3 linked regions of the Arabidopsis thaliana genome follow. The protein of the gene in region 1 interacts with the protein of each later gene in a pairwise test. Each region holds a gene or a part of one and is shown on either strand. Other genes may lie near its edges.

Region 1 (4,874 bases):
GAAACGGGCAACACCAACCCGTGTTTCGAACACTGTCTAGTCCTCATGGTTCTTCGCCTTATCGACATCAGATTCCTTCGCCAAAGCCTAAAGGAGCAACTACATAGCTCTTACGTGGTGGAAATAGGCCACAAACGAACAGAGCTAGAAGGCTCAAGCTTTTATCGTCGTTTTTAAGCAACAAGGAGATATTTTTAAACAACGTTAGGGTAACTCTTTAATTGATTAATAATGTACGATGGAGAAGGGTAAATCCAAATGGAAAAAAAAAAAACTGATTTTGTCTTCCATTGCTGAAAGCATAGAAAAGTTATAAATTGAAAACATTTTTGATGCTCTTTATAAATTGAAAACACCAAGTATCTACCATTTTCAAACGCAAAAGCCAGTATCCCGGAAACAGAGGTATCGTGTTTGTTCATCTACTTCTGGTGGTCAGAATGATAGATTCAAAGTAGAGTACACTCCTTGGCTTATCGTTGGGTTGGGCAATCCAGGAAACAAGTATCATGGAACAAGACACAATCTTTTTCTTTTACTGATTTGCTGGATTTGATCTCGGCAATGCTACAACTTTGTGTTGTTTTCAGGTTGGTTTCGAGATGATCGATGTGTTGGCTCGAAAAGAAGGGGTTTTGATGAACACGATACAGTCCAAAGCTCTAATCGGAATAGGTTCTACTTCTCTTGCTTTTGGTTCTTTGGTTTGAAGAATAATAAAACTGATGACTTTTTGGTTCTATGTAAGAATCAGTACAGGTGCTATTGAAGGTGTACCTATCTTGTTGGCTAAACCTCAGATAAAAATCTGACCAACTAGACAAAATTAATTAGACATGTAAGAAGAACCTCATAGAAAAATCCACTAAGGGAACTCCAAATGGAACAAAGTATAGCAGAGGCAGAAAATAAAAGAGAGAACCAAGTAAAAGATATGGAACAGAGTATTGTAGCAGAGGCGGAAAATAAAAGAGAGAGAGCCAAGTAAAACGATCTTAATGGTTCTTTATCGTCAAAGACGATCCTTTCAATAGTATTTTTCTCTTTTATTTTCTACAAATCCCAACACCGAACAAAAAAAACAAATGAAAGATTGTTTAGCAAACCAGACAGCGATTTGTCCAAAGATTTGAAGACGAAAAAGAAATAACACCTATTCTACCCACTTCAGGGCCCATTTGGTGGTATCTTCTCAGGGCTTGAGAGCGAGAGCAATCCCAACCTTGGCACTCTTATCGATCGCCTTAGAATCAACCTCTCCAGAAACGGTGAAGAACGACTTTGGACGCCACTCATGTTGGATCAGAGCGTTAGCCACACCAGCATTGTTCACTCTTGCCTTCACTGTGGTCAATGGGTCAAGCGCGTGTTGAGTTCCGACAGTGATGGCGTTCTCTTTGGTCGTGAAGTTGTGGCTAATCTCAGCTCCAACCACAGTCGACGGGCTCACAATCTGGTAGTAGGATGCATTCAATTTCTCACCTTTGTCATTCCTGAAAAAAAACAGTTTAAGAAACAACTCTTTTAAAACCAGCAGCATTAAAATCTCAAGTCATCATTTCATATGGAGGGAGGCACTTACAGAATGAGGGAAGCAGTCAAATCATCCTTGGTGAAGTTGAAACCAGCATTGAAATGTTTGAAGTTGCCAGATTCGGTGTTATAGGCCACATCAGTACCAAGAGACAAACCATTGGTTCCAACCACACCGGAGAAGTTGACAATCGGGGTAGCTGTGAATCCAACGCTGGTAGAGATACCAGCATAGTCATGGAAATACTGAACCTCAGCCTGCTCAGAAAACAACAAATAATGGTTATCTCCAACATACCAACCTTTAAAAAAACGGAACAGAAAGAAAAGAAAGCTGGTGGAGTTATATACCTTTCCAGATTTGTGATCGGGCAACTTAGCCTGAACAATAACTTTCAGTCCAGGGGCAGGCTCATCAAAGGTAAGAGTGGTCAAAAGCTGAAATTATTCACACACAAAAAAAAATCAATTGAATACTCCAGCAGCAATCGGCAACATCATATATCTACTAGAAACAGCTAAAGCTAAAAAGTCTACTTACAGAAGAATCAGTGGAAACTTTGACATCAGCAGTGAAGTTGTTGTTCTTCACTTGGGTAGCAACATCACCCAAAAACAAGCTTCCTTTGTTTGTTCCCGTTGTAGTGATCGCCTACAAATTTATCACCATTCGACACAAGAAAGAGTCAAGTGAGAGTACACATGAAAACAAACTGTACAACCAAATTTGACATAACAGAAAACTAGACAAATCTCAATTTTATCACTAACAATAAACCCATCGCACCAACAAAATAGAGAATTGACAGAAATAAAAACAATAATAAAAACTTACAACACCAGTTGAAGAGTAAGTGGTGACACTGAATTTCTGGTCTCCTTGGTAATCCCTGTACAGAAGATCTACAATAGCATTCAAAAACCTTCAGATTCAACTCAAATAGAAAAGTTCAACACGAGACAACTACTCTGTATCCTTGATAGACATTTTCCAGATCCAAGATAAAAAATTTCAAAACCAGCTAATCAACGAGTGACCCAAAAATTGAAACCCAGAGAACCAGTCTTGTTATTCTATCTATACAGATAAACGAAACGGATAGCATAAATCTGACGGAAACGAACACAGATATTATCAATCAGCTCACAAAACACGAATATTTAACTTTTTATGCATCTATTCAAATTTCAACGACCTAAGCGTGACCGATAGAAATCGGAATAAAACCAGGAATGAGAAACCCTAACCGATTCAATGAATATCAACCTAAACCCAGATCAGAAAAGAGCTCAAATGTTTACGAAATGTCAACAACAGTCACATTCGCGTCACCATAGAGAAAGAGAGAGAGATCGTACCTCTGGCCTTTTTGCCGATTTCAGTGTAGAGTCCTGGACCTTTAACCATGATTGCCTCTGGAAAAATCGAAGAAGCTTTGAAAGATTCCGAAGTCGAGAAGAAGAGTAATGGAGGATTCTGGAGAAAATGAGGTGTGGTGTTTGTGTATATAAGGGGAAGAAGAAAGGGTAACCCTAAATTAATTTATATTATAATATTGTATTTCCCTGCTTATCAAGTAAAAATATCTCAGCCGTTAGATTAATATGACATGAGTCGGTGTCCCTCTTTATCAACCGTTGATTATATATTCCCCTCTCTCCAAGGCATTTTTTTTATGTTTTTTATTTGATTTTCGTATTCTTATTTTATTTTTTTATGGCTTTTTTCCATTTTTCATTGCGTGGCAAGCAAAGCAGGCCGTGTACTCTCTAGTTTTCTTCATCCCCAAAATTTATTTATTTTTATATAATTTTTTTTTTGTTGTTGAGTCTTTGACAATGTCTATTTATTTTCTTAGAGTTAACCATCTGAATTGTTCTTATTAATGTGATATTTAAATTTTCTTAAATGGTGTTCTTTTATATTTACTCCTATATAGTATCTATTATCCTATTTTTTAAAAAGAATAAGTCAAAATTTTGATTTTACTAGTTGACATGTTTTTTTCTAATTTAATATCAGGAGAAAAATGATTTACAATAATTAAAGAGAATGGTTGACATTATTAGCTTTATAATTTCAACATCTAAAAAACTATGACTAAATTAAATACCATATAAAATCCAAAATTAAGAGCCTACGTATAAAACATGTTTTTTTTTTGAACATGTCATATTCATAGGTCCAATAGAAAATAATATGCCAAAGTTGTTGGTAAGGCAATTAGCATTCCAAATATCACCCTGAAAAAGCAAAACAATAAAAACCACAAAAATAAATTTCAAAAAAATTGTAATAAGAAGAAGGAAAAAAAAAAATCAAATCAAGAAATATATTTATTTACCCAGTACTAATGATCTCCGGGTGAAGATTATACTCTTTTGCAAAAACAAATGGCACTACTCCTTGAGGCAATGCTGCCTACAACACAATAAATCAATCGACAAAAACATATATATGACAGATTTTATTATTAACGGATTATTAATTTTAATATTTTCACCTGTAATATTGCTACTTTGAAGAGAGTACTTTTTAATCTGATGCAATACGCAGAAGCAATCATAAGAGCAGGTCCTAATACGAACTTGAGCAGCATTGTTATAATCGCCATTTTTGTACCACATGCTATGATACTACTTTGTGATGCCATGAACAGACCTGTTTCATTTTTTGTTAAATTAAATTTAATTTCCAATCATGAAAGTTTAGTTTTTTTTTTTTTTTTGTATAGATATATAGCTTACCTAAGCTGAACATGGCCATTCCTAAGCCTCCATCAGATAATAAATGTATTGATTTATCAATCATCTCAGGCAAATTCCATCCCAATCTATTGGAGAAAATAAATAAAAACATGAGTAACATTTGATACAAACTATTAAAAAAAGAAGCTAATCTTAATAGTTGGGAATATCACTTGACTATCACTTTTCGATTTTAAAATATTAAAAAAAATGAATTTGTAGATGCGAAAAATGATCAAACAGAAAGCTTAAAATAGGGGAAACTCACTACTAAATTATCGCTTTTCTTTTTGAAAAAGAGAAAAGGAAGTGTTTGAATATGTAAGATGATAAAGATTGAATCTTTAGATGTGTAAGATGATTTATCACAAAAGATATGATTGCAGTGTTAAATATAAGAGAGTTTTGTTTTCACACCTGAAATGTAAAGTAGCCCAAATGATTCCGATCAATGTTGCGTATGTATTTGGATTGATTATAAGCTTTCTCCAAGCCTTCAATAGAATCTTCATAGTTCCAACAGATCTTGTTCTCACTATTGCTACTTCTTCTTCGTCCTCTTCTTCTTTTGGCTCGTCCTCTATATTAGCCTC
Region 2 (5,198 bases), on another chromosome or scaffold:
TAAACGTAGAGAAAATAGCGATAGAAGACGAAGAAGGATTAAGGCGTAACAAGGTGTTTCCAATGCGATTTTGAATAAGCCAAGACATTAAATCTAAAACCCAGAACAGGGTTCTTCAACTGCAACCATAGGAAAATCAAATTTTTATCATCATCAATGAAATTTGAATCTTACTAGTGACATATGACGAAAATAAGTTAGACATGAAACTCAAAGATCGTACCTGAAAGATGGAGCAAAGGGAAATTGTGAAAATGACGACGGCCTCTTGCCGGAGAAATTTGAGGAGGACTAATCGCAAGAGAAGGGTTTACGGCCCAAAGTTGGGCTCTCTGGTTTTGGAAGCGTTTTACACCGTCTGGTTTGAAAAACCGGTTAGGCTTTGTGTTTGACCAACTGGGCTTTGGCATTGGGCCTTCTTGTGTCGTATATCAACGACCTCCCCATTTTTTCGATGCGGATGTGTACAAATAATTGAAGTGCCACTATACGTGAATTTGTGTAACATGGTTTAATAATTTGTTCAAAGTACCTTTACAGATGAACACATATTTCGTTGTCTTTATAAACCGCACATCTGTTAATGAATTTCTTATGTTTTGAGAAGAATCAATAACAAAAGGCAACATGAAATACTTTTCATTCAAACATCAGTCTACAAACTCGCATAAATGAGAATCGCAAACATAAAATATAGGTTCCACTTAGAAACTTTTATTCGAAAACTAGAAGAAGCTAGATTAATAAGTGTACACCTCTAGTTCCTTAGATTTGCTACGTCATCATCAACGGGAGCTCATTTAGTTTCATTTTTCGTTCAGATTTGATTTAGTATATAGTTAAAAAGAGAAGTGGAACAAAATTGAAAACCATAACGTTAACTCAATATATCAAAAGCCAAAAACAAAGGGCTTCCAGTAAAACATCGGTCTACAAACTCCCATCACCTCACATGAATGAGAATTAAGAAAACCAAAAAAAAAAAAAGTTCCAAGTTCAAAGAAATTTTATTCGAAAACGACAAATTCAGACCATAAAAGGGGATGAACAGATGACTTTCCACTCCCTATCATTCGAGATCTGCTTCTTAGCTTAGGCCTTTGACATGTGGACGATCAAGTCGACCACACGGGAACTGTAACCCCATTCGTTGTCGTACCATGACACCAATTTCACAAACTTGTCGCTCAATGCAATTCCAGCCTTGGCGTCAAAAATGCTCGACCTGTTGTCGCCAACGAAGTCAGTTGAGACAACATCATCCTCGGTGTATCCAAGGATTCCCTTGAGTTTGCCTTCGGATTCCTCCCTATGTATTGGTGGTAAAAACACTTGGTGAGTAATTTGATCACTACTGGAATATAAGTAAACTTAATCTGTCATTGCTCAAAAGCTTACTTGATAGCCTTTTTGATTTCATCGTAGGTAGCAGCTTTCTCGAGTCTGACAGTAAGGTCAACAACTGAGACATCAACGGTTGGGACACGGAAAGACATTCCAGTCAACTTTCCGTTAAGAGCTGGAAGCACCTTTCCGACAGCCTTGGCAGCTCCAGTGCTGCTGGGAATAATGTTGAATGAAGCAGCTCTTCCACCTCTCCAGTCCTTCATTGAAGGCCCATCAACAGTCTTCTGAGTAGCTGAAATCATAAAGCAAACCCCATTAAATCACAAATTTTCCACCTATAGGCAAGCAAGTTTGTAATAAACTTCTAACTGATTGATAAATTTACCAGTGATTGAGTGGACTGTAGTCATAAGACCCTCAACAATTCCAAATCTGTCATTGATAACCTACACAATGAAATCAAAGAACGTTAAATGAAATTAGTCACTTCAACTTGAAATACAAAGTCAAATTTGATCATATAGAATATCAGATATTTTACCTTGGCAAGGGGAGCAAGGCAGTTAGTGGTGCAGCTAGCGTTGGAGACAATGTCAAGGTCGGACTTGTATTCGTGCTCGTTGACACCAACAACAAACATTGGAGCGTCTTTGCTGGGGGCAGAGATAACAACCTTCTTGGCACCACCCTGAAAATACAACAAGTCACAAATTTAGTTGAATGATACTAAGCAAATTCTAGCACATAAACTATTTATATCATTACAAGACAAAAATAACCAATTCAAATAAGACAAACCTTCAAGTGAGCTGCAGCCTTGTCTTTGTCAGTGAAGACACCAGTAGACTCAACAACGTAGTCAGCTCCAGCCTCGGCCCATGGGATATCCTCAGGGTTCCTTCACAAATACCAAAAACTAATGAGATTGAAATTCACAACAGTTTGTAATATGTATACACGCAAAGAGACAGAGAACTGGTTGATAAATGTACCTGATGCCGAAAACAGTGACTGGCTTCTCACCGAAGAGAAGGGTCTTCTCATCCTTGATCTTGAGTTCATTGTGTTTCCATTGACCGTGAACACTGTCGTACTTGAACATGTAGGTCTGCAGCAATCAAACACAGAGCGCAATCAAAATCAACTCAACCATATCAACTCTAATCACAAACAGGCTAATCAATAACATTACAAACACAGCAAAACAAACAACAGCTCCACAAGTATACTGATCAGCTAAACAGTATGAACAATGAACACTAAACCAGTTTCCAGATCTGTGCACTAATTGAACAAATCATCTGACACTTAAATCCACATGCATAATCCATAAATGATATGATCCATCTATCAAATCTAACGAAAGCAAAGGTACCAGAGCGACTAACAGAATCTTATCGTCAAGAGATCAAAATAATATTGAAGCAAACCAAGATCGAATCACCGTCAAAACCAAGGAAGGAACACTAACCATGTACTCAGTAGTGATGAAGGGGTCGTTGACAGCGACGAGCTCAACATCGTCCCTCTGGAGAACAACTCTAGCAACCAAACGACCAATTCTTCCGAATCCTAACGATAACAGAAATCAACAGTCAGATTCTAGATCTAGATACATGAGAACATACAAACCCGAATTACAAAATCGATTCGAAACTCACCGTTGATTCCGATCCTAATCTTCTTGTCAGCTACATAAAACAACAAACAAAATCAGAAAAACGATCAGATCAGAAAACTCAACAACGTAAAATAGCAGCGACGGGACGAGAGATTAGTAAAAGCGAGAGACTAACCCATTGTAGAATCGAAAACGAGAGTTAGAGAGAGGTTGAAGATGAGATTGGCAGAGAGAGATTTTAGAGTGAGATAGGTGAGTGAGAAGGGTTCCGTGAAGAGGTTATTTAAAAGAGAGAAGAACGTGGAGGAGGGGTCGGAATGATCTAGTGGCTGAGAGTTTTTCTTGGCCAAAAAGTCAGATCTGATTCAATACTTTTCTTAACCTAAAAGACCAAATTGCCCTTAATCATTTTCCTTATTTACCGTTGTAGCTCTGTTATTTTGGCAAATGTCGTCATTCCTGAGGCGAGACATGGCAACTGCATCTCACGCGCTAATCTGGAATATTCTTTAAATATTTAAGACGGGTCGGGTAAGCATGAAACGCAGCGTATTTGGATATGCTTTTATGCGCCGACCAGTGTTTGACTGCCACGAGTTCACGAGCGGCCCATTTTAGTAGACGGGTTCCATTTTCTAGAACGTAACGCCCAAATAAAATTATATTTTAGAAAAGTATATATTTCAAGTTTTCAACTCTTTAGGAGACTTTCTTTAAAAGAAGATATTTGATAGGCGTATATGGACAAGAATTTGAAAATTTTGATTTGATAAGCAATATTCAAAAAAGCAAAAGTCCCTATCAAAAACTCGATTAGTTGATGTATTTAATTCAAAAAATACTTCGTGATGGGTGAATCACTTTAGTATTTACGTGAATTAAATTATTACATGTGAATTTAAACGGGAAAAAAAAACAAGTATTACATGTGAAATTTGTTTCGAAGTGTACTTTGTTGTTACTTATGAGTCCTGTCCCGTCAATTGCTATAGTAGAGCTTATGAACGATGGATCACTTTTTACTTATAGAAGCTTTGAAGTTTGGTGCATAGTCGTGATACCTCTTGACGCGTATGAAAGAGATGTAGGGCTAGTACGAGAACATGAGCAGCTCCCGCAATGATGAACAAACCGCGCAACTCACGGAAGGTGAATCGCTTAGATGCCTCATCATCGTCGTTGGTAGATGCAACTTCCTCGGTGTTGGAATGTACATTTAGTGAATCCAGTTTTTGAAACCATTTTTTCTCCATGTCTTTCAACATTCCCAATGATCTTAGCTTCGCGATTTCTCGCGATACTTTAGGAACCAAATCCGAACCTTTCTGGAACATCTGAGAGGTAAACATAAATTAGTACGTAACAAGAATAAGTAACCAAATAATGGAGAGAAAATGAGAGGTTTGAGGAGAAGGGTACATACAAAGCCAAAGCCATTGGTATTAGTCACTCTATCTGTCATTACGAAATCATTCGGATAATTTCCGATAAGGATACTGAGATAAGGTATTTCATTGATGACATGATTAAGAGTTCCATCTCGCAAAAGTTGTGCATAGGCCTCAACTGCATTAATGGATCCGAGCTTCGCAGTCATTGACGTCGTAGATCCCCCGAAAACCATCTGATGATTTAATTGCATGCGAGAAATGGTCTTGGTTGATGTCAAGTTTGCGCTGTAACTTGAAGTCAATATTAACACCACAAAAACCCAAACTATGACTAAGAATCTTGATGACATTTTCTGTAGCTTCTCTCCTGCCAAGAATGTGCGTAATTTGTTATAGATCAAAATATACAAAAGGATGGGATTTCATGAAGAGTAGTACTCTAACATAAACACTTACTGTGAGCAAATACAATGGTTGAGAAACCAAACCAGAGCATCATACTAAGTTGTTGTCCCCAAGAGCCCTGAAATTCCGGATTAACGGACCGTTCAACTAACCAAACAACAATCCCAGTTAAGACAAAGAAAGCTCCACTTGCTAGCCACAAGGATTTTTCGAAAGGATCAAAGAAGGTCCACATCCCTTGGCTTTTCTTTTTCACTGTCAAGATTCCAATACCAATGTCAGTGTACGGCAAAGTAAAATCAACATACAAAGATCTGTTGGAAGTGATGGTGATATCACCAACTGCTGCATCATACTTGTCTCTCTGTCAAAATTGCAAACACACATTATTAGAAACATACATAATCATTTTTGACTAGAAAAATGTTTTTAAA
Region 3 (5,337 bases), on another chromosome or scaffold:
GCTCAAATATGAAATATCATAACTGGCATTTACCGTACAGACCAAGAAGACCTCAAAATAGATTTTTGGTCTGTTACATTTGTAAGAACAGAACATAAGAGAAGTGAATAAATTGTTCACAATCAGACGAGCGAGTGTTTGTGTGTGGTATCAGAGTCATTCTTCATCCCTTTTATTGTTCTTGTATGAAATGAGTGTGTTCGACCTTGTCAATCTGCAAAGCCAGAGAAACTTTCTGAACTTATACTACTGAGAAAACACTATAATGATTTGATTAACAAACACTAGTATCAAAGAATGTAATTCAACCACTCTCTTGATCCAGGTGAACGGTACAGCCACATCGGTATCAGTAAATGCTCCCAACACAACAAACACACCTTATCCAACCGCCAAGCCGATTAATGTCTCTCTCTCTTACATGTTTCATGGAGACAAGGCAAGCAAGTTATGCTGGAAGCAACTTGTCTCATTATAGCTTGAATCTCCCTCGTGATCTCCTTATTACTTTTCTCCTTTGAGACAGCGTGAAAAGGAGGAAGACAGAATCAAGACAGCATAAACATCACAAACATACAAATGAAACTGAGTTAATTGAAATGTTTATGCATAAATAAACCAACTTCTAGATCTTAAATATCACGTAAGTGGAATAACATTGGTTATAAGCAGATCATCAGGATAAGATTCCAATAGTTAAAGTTTTGCGTCAATAATTGTTTTTGTCGAGAAGGTTTGCATCAATTATTGCATCTTTCTTTCTATCTTTTTTTTTCTTTCTCTTAGAATCGAATTTTAACATATACTTTGATAATGATATATTGTGGTTCTTTTCACTTCACGATTACTTTAGAACATTGTGAATAATGACACTTCAAAATAAAAGGGATAAGATCAGAAATAACATATGAAAATTCCACAAAATCACTACAAATAATTCAGATAATGAAAAAAATACATGTACGTTATGTTATAAAATTCTCAAATATGGTTTTCAGCAAAAATAAATTTGGTTTTTTACTACAAAGTACAAACCAAAGTAAATTGATTTTACAAAGAAAAACGAATTAGAAAATCGTTTTTAAATCATAGAACTTATTCAGTCGAAGAGAATGGCTGACACTTGACGGGTCAGTTATAACTTATAAGTGGACTCTTGGAAATGATCATGAGTTATAGAAAGATCACAAACTTCAATTTATGATATATTGTTGACCTCAGATAATATTTTAGCTATTTATTGGATGTATAAAGATCCATATGAATACCAAAAGAAGGAGTTTTATAACCATTCACCTAACAAAAATGAAATGGAAAAAGAAAAGAGAGCAAATAAGAGGAGGAGAAGAAGAAGACTTTTGGCAAAAGCCAAGAGTCATACCTATTAGTCTATTACATAAGGTGTGATGTTTTTTTTTGCTGTCACATTCCATCTGACCTACCAAAGCTCTCAAAGTGGAGCATCTATTGTGTCTTGGTATAGAGTCACGATTAGATAAATATACAACACCATATGTACTTGTGTCAAATTATAAATATTTGAAACAGTAAGCAACCAGTAATTCGATAAAGACGTCTACAAGCATCTACACATCTAAATTGATTAAAACAAAACACCTTTAAATATAGTGTTTATGAAGTCAAATCTTCACCTTGATTATTCTAAAACAATGGTTGGAGTAATGTTGCTGAATGTTGAGTGAGAATTGACATTTGAGAGTAACTTTCACTATAATGAACTGGATGATAAAGTTGATCCGATAATAATTGAATTTACCATGAATGGTATCACAAGATACATGTATAGAAGACAGTGGTGTTACTTGTTACGCAAAATTAAAAAATGAGCATACTATTGCAGTTACTTTGGATTTATTAAGGAAAATTATGGTTTGACAACAACAATAATACAAAATCTTATGAAAATTAAATAAAAAGAAAAACAAATTTGGCTATTGGCAAAGCTCATTGGCTGTCAAAAGGAATATATACAAAATCTGCTACGTTGCAGTCTTGCGTGCACCGGCCCAGCCCATAGGATTAGAGTATTAAACCTCGAATATTCCATCAGCCTGCGCGTGAATCCAAGCGCCATTAGTTTCCCCAAATCAGTTCTTAATCCTACCCATAAACGATGGGTAAAAATGGTAAATAAGAAAGAAAGTAAAGTACAATATAGTAATATTAATTAGTGAATCTAATCTATTAGCCTTTTTCCCAAGAAAAAATCTCAGCCACTCGATCATATTTTCAATTTTCATCATCACGTTCTTCTTCTCTTTTAAATAACCCTAAATCCTCACCAAACCCAAACCCTCACTCACTATTTTCACATTCTCTTCTCTCTCGATATCATCTAAATCTCTCTCGATCTCAATTTCGCAAAATGGGTAAGCTTCTCGCTCTTGTTGATCTGCGATTCTTCGATTTATTGTTCTTTCGTTGATACTTTTTGAATCTGATCGTAATTTTGGTTTGTGTAGCTGACAAGAAGATCAGAATCGGAATCAACGGTGAGTGTTTTTCTTATCGAATTCCATAAGTTTTTTGGTTAGGTTTAAGTGATTTGGATCTGTAGAAGCTGAGTTTTGAATCTTCGTGAAGGTTTCGGAAGAATCGGTCGTTTGGTTGCTAGAGTTGTTCTTCAGAGGGATGATGTTGAGCTCGTCGCTGTTAACGATCCTTTCATCACCACCGAGTACATGGTTCGTTTCTTCTTCTCTTCGATACTAGTTCGTATCTGGATTTGAGTTAATAGTTTTATCTGAATTTTTGTTAATATACATGATGGTGTGTGCTGTTTATCATATAGATCTGAGAACTTGCTTTGTTGTATTCTTCTTCTATGTTGATTCTCTGTAAATTCGTTTTGACTGATTGTGTATATGGTATCGATTTGTTGCAGACATACATGTTTAAGTATGACAGTGTTCACGGTCAGTGGAAGCACCATGAGCTTAAGGTGAAGGATGACAAAACTCTTCTCTTCGGTGAGAAGCCAGTCACTGTTTTCGGCATCAGGTACATAATCATGGATGATTTTATTATAGTGGTTCTCTGTTATGTTATTGAGAGTTGTGAAATTCTGATTTGTGGTGTTTTATTTTTGAAGGAACCCTGAGGACATCCCATGGGGTGAGGCTGGAGCTGACTTTGTTGTTGAGTCTACTGGTGTCTTCACTGACAAAGACAAGGCTGCTGCTCACTTGAAGGTTTGAACTTGGATCTTTTATATAATAGTCGAGAACTTGTTTATTTAAGATCTATATCATCATCATATTGTTTCATTGTTATTCAGGGTGGTGCTAAAAAGGTTGTCATCTCTGCCCCAAGCAAAGATGCGCCCATGTTCGTTGTTGGTGTCAACGAGCACGAGTACAAGTCTGACCTTGACATTGTTTCCAACGCTAGTTGCACCACTAACTGCCTTGCTCCTCTTGCCAAGGTATCTTTTTCTGTTTCAACCCATAAACTTGTGTAAATTGTTCTGAATTCTGAATTTTAAGTTGAATCATTTCTCTTACAGTTGCAATCTATTTGTGCAGGTTATTAATGACAGGTTTGGCATTGTTGAGGGACTCATGACCACTGTCCACTCTATCACTGGTACGTATTTATATTTGGTTTCATTGGGTTGATTCTTGAAAATATGTATATTTGACTCAATAGTAACTGTTGTTTTGGTGATCAGCTACTCAGAAGACAGTTGATGGTCCATCAATGAAGGACTGGAGAGGTGGAAGAGCTGCTTCCTTCAACATTATTCCTAGCAGCACTGGTGCCGCCAAGGTATCATTTCAGCCTCTTATTTGTTTTAATTGATTTTGATTGAGAAATTATGTTGAATCTGATTTTTGTATCATGGTTGTTGATAGGCTGTTGGGAAAGTGTTGCCATCCCTCAATGGAAAATTGACCGGAATGTCTTTCCGTGTTCCAACCGTTGATGTCTCAGTTGTTGATCTCACCGTTAGACTTGAGAAAGCTGCAACATACGACGAAATCAAGAAGGCCATCAAGTGAGAACCATCAAGGACCCTCAGTCCTAACCATATCATATTAGAATTTATTGGGTACTTACAAAAGATTTTGGTTAAAACTTTTCAGGGAGGAATCTGAAGGCAAAATGAAGGGAATTTTGGGATACACTGAGGATGATGTTGTGTCTACCGACTTTGTTGGTGACAACAGGTATAAAAAATATTGTCTGTAGAGTGATATACAGTTTTCTGATCTTATAAATGGCGAGAGCAAATAATTGAAATATTGGGTTTGTGTTTATAGGTCAAGCATTTTCGATGCCAAGGCTGGGATTGCATTGAGCGACAAGTTTGTGAAGTTGGTGTCATGGTACGACAACGAATGGGGTTACAGTTCTCGTGTCGTTGACCTTATCGTTCACATGTCAAAGGCCTAAGCTTACACCGGCGAGAGTTTGTGTGTGGTTGAGTTCGTACTGTTCTGAATAAAAAAAAGGAGAAAAGAAAACTCGAGTTGTTATGTTTTTTCACTGATTCCATGCGCAGTCATGAGAGTTTGTAGCTTTTGTCTTTTTGCTTTCTCTTAATGTTTCCCTGCTTTATTTACTGAAACCATTGGTTTGGTTTTTTATGTTAATTAAGTTTTTAGTTCATTACTTTCTCGTGCTAACTCAAACCCAACTGGCAACTGGAACATTGAACGTCCTCTTCTCGTATTTTTAATAGTCTATTTGTACTTGAGCTTCTCCACCAAAATGGTTCTTCCTAGTCATATAGCTCACATTAGGTCAATCATCTTCGATTGAAAGCAAAAGTTACTGAGACGGATTTATTGGTTGATAAGCATCGCCACATTGTTTTTTAACGAATCAGCCAAGTTTGTTGAAACGGAGGATCAAAAATTGGAATTTAGTATTTCCTTGCAATTGCGAAGATCCAATTTTTTGGTTGACATCATTGTAAAATGATTGATATTATAATTTTATTTGCATGCTAACTTTTAAAGTTAATAGGAAACTCGTATTTTCAATAGTGACATGTTATTGCATGTGATAATACGATTATTTTATTACTTTATTAGTCGTAAATGAAGAGTAACATGCCACTATTGAAATGGTACTCATGAGATCACACGCTAGTTATTAAAGGAACATAGAAGTAAAGAAGGTTTTTATTGCAACATCAAAGAGAACAAAAACCACACATCAGTTGTAATGATACATCAAAGTTATATATATGACAATGTAACTTTTATTATTAAATAACGCATTCAAGAACACTTTTTCTGCAGTTCTTCACAAAGCACACGCATAATTCTAGAATTTCAAACCGGAACCTTTGAGTTTCTCCTCGACGAT

The links. The genes of interacting proteins can lie anywhere in the genome.
Region 2: the proteins of VDAC3 (region 1) and GAPC1 interact in a two-hybrid assay, tested with the Arabidopsis thaliana proteins (one study listed by BioGRID).
Region 3: the proteins of VDAC3 (region 1) and GAPC2 interact in a two-hybrid assay, tested with the Arabidopsis thaliana proteins (one study listed by BioGRID).

Annotation. Positions count from the first base shown.
Region 1 is NC_003076.8:4,888,449-4,893,322, forward strand, and holds VDAC3 (voltage dependent anion channel 3), read right to left. Parts: upstream 3,156-4,874; 5' UTR 2,942-3,155; coding exon 2,893-2,941; intron 2,437-2,892; coding exon 2,369-2,436; intron 2,186-2,368; coding exon 2,075-2,185; intron 1,972-2,074; coding exon 1,885-1,971; intron 1,792-1,884; coding exon 1,583-1,791; intron 1,494-1,582; coding exon 1,193-1,493; 3' UTR 1,075-1,192; exon of another isoform or gene 845-1,074; intron 723-844; 3' UTR 516-722; downstream 1-515. Other genes in the region: AT5G15080 (Protein kinase superfamily protein), read left to right, coding at 1-107; PIN8 (Auxin efflux carrier family protein), read right to left, coding at 3,711-3,777, 3,879-3,955, 4,038-4,195, 4,282-4,367, 4,699-4,874. UniProt on the Arabidopsis thaliana protein: Forms a channel through the mitochondrial outer membrane that allows diffusion of small hydrophilic molecules. The channel adopts an open conformation at low or zero membrane potential and a closed conformation at potentials above 30-40 mV.
Region 2 is NC_003074.8:1,079,026-1,084,223, reverse strand, and holds GAPC1 (glyceraldehyde-3-phosphate dehydrogenase C subunit 1), read right to left. Parts: upstream 3,283-5,198; 5' UTR 3,148-3,282; coding exon 3,144-3,147; intron 3,039-3,143; coding exon 3,009-3,038; intron 2,920-3,008; coding exon 2,819-2,919; intron 2,456-2,818; coding exon 2,340-2,455; intron 2,246-2,339; coding exon 2,146-2,245; intron 2,036-2,145; coding exon 1,889-2,035; intron 1,794-1,888; coding exon 1,733-1,793; intron 1,640-1,732; coding exon 1,399-1,639; intron 1,310-1,398; coding exon 1,093-1,309; 3' UTR 534-1,092; downstream 1-533. Other genes in the region: AT3G04130 (Tetratricopeptide repeat (TPR)-like superfamily protein), read right to left, coding at 1-88; GLR1.1 (glutamate receptor 1.1), read right to left, coding at 3,988-4,302, 4,392-4,726, 4,816-5,128.
Region 3 is NC_003070.9:4,607,544-4,612,880, reverse strand, and holds GAPC2 (glyceraldehyde-3-phosphate dehydrogenase C2), read left to right. Parts: upstream 1-2,002; 5' UTR 2,003-2,386; coding exon 2,387-2,390; intron 2,391-2,483; coding exon 2,484-2,513; intron 2,514-2,604; coding exon 2,605-2,705; intron 2,706-2,905; coding exon 2,906-3,021; intron 3,022-3,112; coding exon 3,113-3,212; intron 3,213-3,298; coding exon 3,299-3,445; intron 3,446-3,545; coding exon 3,546-3,606; intron 3,607-3,691; coding exon 3,692-3,789; intron 3,790-3,875; coding exon 3,876-4,018; intron 4,019-4,106; coding exon 4,107-4,190; intron 4,191-4,283; coding exon 4,284-4,416; 3' UTR 4,417-4,804; downstream 4,805-5,337. Other genes in the region: ST4C (sulfotransferase 4C), read right to left, coding at 5,296-5,337. UniProt on the Arabidopsis thaliana protein: Key enzyme in glycolysis that catalyzes the first step of the pathway by converting D-glyceraldehyde 3-phosphate (G3P) into 3-phospho-D-glyceroyl phosphate. Essential for the maintenance of cellular ATP levels and carbohydrate metabolism. Binds DNA in vitro.